Linked DNA regions of Nothobranchius furzeri. The protein of the gene in region 1 binds, or shares a complex with, the protein of each later gene. Links are inferred from orthologs where the notes say so. Each region holds a gene or a part of one and is shown on either strand. Other genes may lie near its edges.

Region 1 (3,759 bases):
GAATTTCAATACTTTTCTAATAAATTCTGAGAAAACAAATCTGGTGATTAATTTCCCTTGTTTCTTACTGAAGCAAACCAACTTGTTTGGTTATCATTTTTAGTATTTTTTTGCTCATGAGCAGGCCCTTTACTATAGTGGATGATGCTAGCTGAACAATATTTGATTTCATGGCTAACCAAACACCTTTCACACTCAAATATTTTAGTCTTAAGAAGAAGAAGCAATATTTTATATTGTGCCTCTCAGGATAAAAATCAGGAGGCACTTCACAAGAGCAAAAAAAAATTTTTTTTTAAATGATTAAATATATCACAAAATGAGAAAATTTTAAAAATTGTAATTTTAAAAAATGTAAGGAAAGGGAAAGAAAATTAAGAAAGATGTAATCAGTGGATCCTGCAGAAGTGGTAAAAAACAAAGCTGAATAAGGAGAGAGTATGAAGCTCACACAAAAACACCAAAGGTCTGAACAGGTGAGTTTTCAGCTGCTGCACTTCAATACTAAATATACACCTACATACAAAGTTTACAGTAATTTATAATATTGTTATCCAAAAACAACATTCTGTTTACCAAGATTCTTGGGAATAAACACATTCCAAGGTGGTGTATGCCTAGAAAAGGTTATAGTAATCATTGTTTTGATTCTAACAAGTGAAAATATGACTGCAGCCAAAAGTGAACATTTTTGAAAGTTTATGTCCAATTATGAGCATGGACAGTGCAAAAATCAGTGGAAAACTTGCTGTTTTCCTAAACATTTGTAGCATTTTCTCTCATTTGAAAAAGTAAATTTGATTGTATATTCAACAAATATTTTGCTCTTCTTTTTTTCTTTCTTTTGTGTAGCCCCCGTTTTAATACCAACTTGATTTTTCTGTTGTTGTTAACAACGTTGTTATTTTCTAGAGCGCGCCAAAGCTTAGGGTCTGGACCGCGCATGCCTCTTGCGAGTGACGTAGGGCATCAACAGGAAGTGCGACCGGCAGCTAATCTGCTAGCAAAGAGCTACGGAGTTGACATGAATCTTCAACAAAACCAGAGTCGTTTTTGTTTTCACCGATTAGAACAAGACTGACATTTAATTTCGCGGTAAGGTGGCTGTAACTTTAAACAAGTATAGGATGCAATATTTGACTTTAAGTATAAACTATGGGTTTATTAGCTTGATAAAAACAGACGCTAGTTACCGGTAGTTATTATTCAAAATCATGTCTGAGTTACATTTACTAGTCATGACTTGTGTCGATGAGCCACGGTTCCTGTCAAGTACATGGTCCTAAACGGGAGATTCGTCAATGTGAATAAAGTGTGCTCATTTTAGAAACGGTTTCAATCCCTTTTAAACAGGCACAGACACCCTCCAGCATTAGTTTTGGTAAACTGAAGGTGTAGAAGTTGTTCAGTGTAATCATTATGAATCATTTAAATGTAATGGTACTAGCTGTTTTCATTGTTGTATTGTAGATTGCTGCTATTAAGAGTTTTGGTTTTATTAACAGAGGTTGAGAAAAGTAATAATCACAATAAGTTTTGAGAAAATTAGCTAAAATTCTTTAGGAATATAATGCTATATAGAAAAGTATTGATTAAAATGAAAAATGAATGTGACACAGTTAAATTTGAGGAAAGAGATTCATAAAATAAGTTTGACTTTCATTGTAATTAATTGTTATCTTTTGCTTTATGTGATATTATTCGGCACATCATAAATTATTTCAGCTCTGATTGATTGAAAAGCCACAGGAGGACTGCACGATGGGCCAGCGAAGGAGAGCAGGAGCAGTGAAAACTCTGTCATCTGAAAGAGACTCCGCAGATGTTGCCAGAATCTGCAACAGGAAGCACAACATCTGTATGGTGTCTGACTTTTTCTATCCAAACATGGGAGGAGTAGAAAGCCACATTTATCAGCTTTCTCAGTGTCTGATTGAAAAGGGACACAAGGTGGTAATTGCCACTCATGCCTACGGCAGGAGGAGGGGTGTGAGGTATTTAACCAATGGACTGAAGGTCTACTACCTGCCCCTGCAAGTGATGTACAGCCAGTCCACAGCCACCACCTGCGTCCACAGTCTCCCACTGCTGCGCTGTGTGTTTGTCAGGGAGCAGATCACCGTGGTACACGCACACAGTTCATTCTCTTCCATGGCCCACGATGCACTGTTCCACGCCAAAACCATGGGCCTCAACACCGTATGTGACTCTAAGCCATGTATGTCTCCCTTATTAATAACACACAGTTCAGTAATGTAAATGTTTTTCTTTTAATACCAGGTGTTTACTGACCACTCACTTTTTGGCTTTGCTGACCTCAGCTCCGTGCTGACCAACAAGCTTCTGACAATTACGCTGTGTGACACCAACCACATTGTGTGTGTTTCCTACACCAGTAAGGAGAACACGGTGCTCCGGGCTGTGCTCAACCCAGAGATCGTGTCTGTCATTCCCAATGCTGTTGACCCTACAGATTTTACTCCTGACCCGTCCCAGCGGCCAGCTGACAGGATCACAATAGTTGTCATCAGCCGGCTCGTCTACCGCAAAGGTACCCAGACCCTGTTGGGTTGGATGTTGTCATTCTTTGCTTCTTTTCTGCTTGTTTATAATGTATGTGTTGGTTTTGTTTGCATTGGAACATTGTAAAAATGTAGGCCAAATAGGCCAAATTTAGAGCATTTCACAGGTTACTCCAAAAATGTACTGAATAAAATTGACACAAGTATTTTTAAAATTGTCAAACAATATCAATCATGCGAGGCTTTTTTGAGTTTGAGTTTGCTCATCTGGAGCGCCTAACAGCTAGAATGGAAGATGGTTGACCCAGTTGTCGTGCAAACTGCACTGACAATCAAGAAAAGGAAGAACAAATATCTGGGGAGTCTTGAAAAGCATTAAAAGTTAATAAATTTATTTGAGGAAAATTAAGATCCTTAAAAAGTATTTAAATATCTTGAATCAATTTAAAAAGTCTTAAATTTAGTTAGTATTGATGTGTATTTACCATAAGGTTGTATAAAAATAGATGAAAGTAAACTAATATCATAAAATAATTATTTGTTCTTTCATGCCGGCTTTTTGCTTGCGTTTCCGTAACACGTGCCTTTACGTACCATTGCTACAGCCCTGCTATCATGGACGTGACATATCCCGCCAACTGATGAAGTGGTGCTGAATGCTGCTGTTGTGTCCTTGGGCAAGACACTTAACCCGCCTTGCCTGCTGGTGGTGGTCAGACCGTTGGCGCCAGTGCTCGACAGTCTCACCTCTGTCAGTGCGCCCAAGGGCGGCCGTGCCTACACTGTAGCTCATTACCACCAGTGTGTGAATGGGTGATTGTGTTGTGAAGCACCTTGGGGGGGTTGTAGAACCCTAAGAAGGCGTTATACAAATACAGGCTATTTACCATTTATTTGTTAGAGCCCAGCATATACCCTGTATTACCTGATGCCTTTATAATAATTAAAAAAGCATGGAAACTCCCAACATTTTAACCTCACCTCCTGGGCTCATGATGCTTTGTGATTTTTATCTTGAGAGATATAAATACAAAAGATCGTTTTCTTTCTTTCTTTATTTTCCTTTATGTAATTTGTCTGCAACACAAAGGAACAGAAAGCACACAGCTCTGTGGTTAAGCTCCCTTTCTCTGGAATAATGACTTTCAGTCAATTTCAGTTCCAGTCTACTGTTTCTGAGCCCTACTAATAAAAGTGTGGGTCATAGGGTCAGATCAAGAAAGTTGGGTTTCTCAGA
Region 2 (1,918 bases), on another chromosome or scaffold:
CGGCCCGGGCCGACCCGGTACAGATGGGAATGGCCCAATAGGTAGATCTAAAGGGTCCGAGTTGGACAGCCCTGAATCATATGCTACGTATCACAAACCTCTCATGCTTTTATCAGACTGTGGTTCTTTTTACAAGTGTCACTGTTTAACAGAGAGCCTCCCCCCCCCCCCAGGTCGGAGCGGTCCAGCTGAGACTAAACAAACCCTTCTTCTTCAAGACAAAAGGAGAATGGCAGTCGCCTCGGCCGGAGTCTCCGCTGACCAAATTTTCTCAGGGCAGAAACCCTAAAAGCAAAAAGTGTCACTAAGGAAGGACGTGAACGTACGATGAAAGCTGTTCTTGTTTGTTTCGGAGCATTTTGGGTCAAAGGCTTAAAAGTTCGAGCTTTTTTAAAACTTGTTTTGTTTTGCATGAAAAGATGATAGTTTGTGTTTGAAGTACAGGCATGTTTGCTGGATTGTTCCTCCCTGAAGTACGTTCACATTTCATAAAACAGACATTAAATAGCTGTTCTGTGTGAAAATGTTTTTATCAAATAAAAGTAACTTATTCCAATAAAGTTGTTTATTCTTTTCTGCAAGAACTGGAAAAATCCAAGAAGTTCAGTTGTTAAATCGGTTACATTTATCCATTTTATAACAGGAGTTTGTTCAGTAGCAGTTAGCGTTTACACGGACTCGGTTACTATGAGTCCTACCTGCAAGCCTAAACTTCCAGACAAGTAAAACCCAAGTCTAGCAGACTTTAACAGACATGAAATAAAGAAAATAATGTTACTGAAGTTGGTAAAGGAGGTAAAAGTGCATCAGAAAACATGCCGTGGGTTGTTTTCAGAGAGCATCCTAGTTGTGTCTGAAGAGCTTGATCCCCATCCAGCTCCAGAGATGGAAGAAGACGTAGACGGGGATGGTGACCGGCAGCAGCAGGCTGTAGAAGCACAGACTGTTGCCGCTGGTGCAGCCTTGAGGGAAGTTCTCATCCACGGCTGCAGAGTAGAACAAGCCAATGAGTGACACGATGGGGACCAGTCCCACCATCACGGACAAGGAGAGCATTCTAGCAGATTAGCTTTACAGTTTTTTTCTTTAAAAAAATAGCAGTGCTCAATCGGTTTTCTGGCAAATGAAGGTCTTTGATAGACTTTCTGTTACTGTGCAGGTGGATTAGAAGCGTCTGTGTCCTTCTGAAGGAGTCTGGCCTCCTGGGGGATCATGTTGGGGATGCCGTCGATGATGGGATAGGCGATGCCAAGCTCCTCATTGATCAGCTCGTTGGTATTGGCATCATACCTAGAGGAAAGAAAAAGAACATCAGTTATCTGGAAAACAGATTAGACTGTTTTATGCGTTGGTTCAGTCATTTCTAATAATGAATGCCTAGGTCGCAGGTCGATGATAGACTTTGAAGTCGTATCATCCGACCTGCGGCCGTGTGTTTTGGACACCAGAGTGAAGAGAGGAGCGGAGCTGTCAACTGATCACCACCTGGTGGGGAGTTAGATCAGATGGCAGGGGAAGATGTCGCGTAGACCTGGCAGACCCAAACGCATAGTGAGGGTCTGCTGGGAACGCCTGGCAGAAGAACCTGTCAAGACGGTCTTCAACTCCCACCTCCGGCAGAGCTTTGACCGCGTCCCGAGACCAGTGGGGGACATTGACTCCGAGTGGGCCTTGTTCCACTCTGCGATTGTTAAGGCGGCTGTTGCTAGCTGTGGTCGCAAGGTGGCCGGAGCCAGTCGTGGTGTGGAGTGTGTCGAGTTTGGAGGCAGGAGAATCTCGTCTCTGCTTTTTGCGGATGATGTGGTCCTCCTAGCTTCATCCAGCTCTGACCTTCAGCTCTCGCTGGGTAGGTTCTTGCTGCCCCCGCGACCCGGATAAGCGGAGGAAGACAACGACGGTGTGTGTGTGTGTGTGTGTG

The links. Proteins that work in one complex are often made in the same cells at the same time.
Region 2: piga (region 1) and phosphatidylinositol N-acetylglucosaminyltransferase subunit Y share a complex: the UniProt entries of both Homo sapiens proteins name them as parts of the glycosylphosphatidylinositol-N-acetylglucosaminyltransferase (GPI-GnT) complex. The link is inferred for Nothobranchius furzeri from reciprocal best matches to the Homo sapiens genes PIGA and PIGY.

Annotation. Positions count from the first base shown.
Region 1 is NC_091754.1:25,446,937-25,450,695, forward strand, and holds the start of piga (phosphatidylinositol N-acetylglucosaminyltransferase subunit A), read left to right. Parts: upstream 1-964; 5' UTR 965-1,095; intron 1,096-1,622; exon of another isoform or gene 1,623-1,725; 5' UTR 1,726-1,761; coding exon 1,762-2,199; intron 2,200-2,280; coding exon 2,281-2,551; intron 2,552-3,759. UniProt on the Homo sapiens protein: Catalytic subunit of the glycosylphosphatidylinositol-N-acetylglucosaminyltransferase (GPI-GnT) complex that catalyzes the transfer of N-acetylglucosamine from UDP-N-acetylglucosamine to phosphatidylinositol and participates in the first step of GPI biosynthesis.
Region 2 is NC_091744.1:85,184,362-85,186,279, forward strand, and holds phosphatidylinositol N-acetylglucosaminyltransferase subunit Y, read right to left. Parts: upstream 1,057-1,918; coding exon 844-1,056; 3' UTR 548-843; downstream 1-547. Other genes in the region: triadin, read left to right, coding at 174-308; pyurf (protein preY, mitochondrial), read right to left, coding at 1,149-1,290. UniProt on the Homo sapiens protein: Part of the glycosylphosphatidylinositol-N-acetylglucosaminyltransferase (GPI-GnT) complex that catalyzes the transfer of N-acetylglucosamine from UDP-N-acetylglucosamine to phosphatidylinositol and participates in the first step of GPI biosynthesis.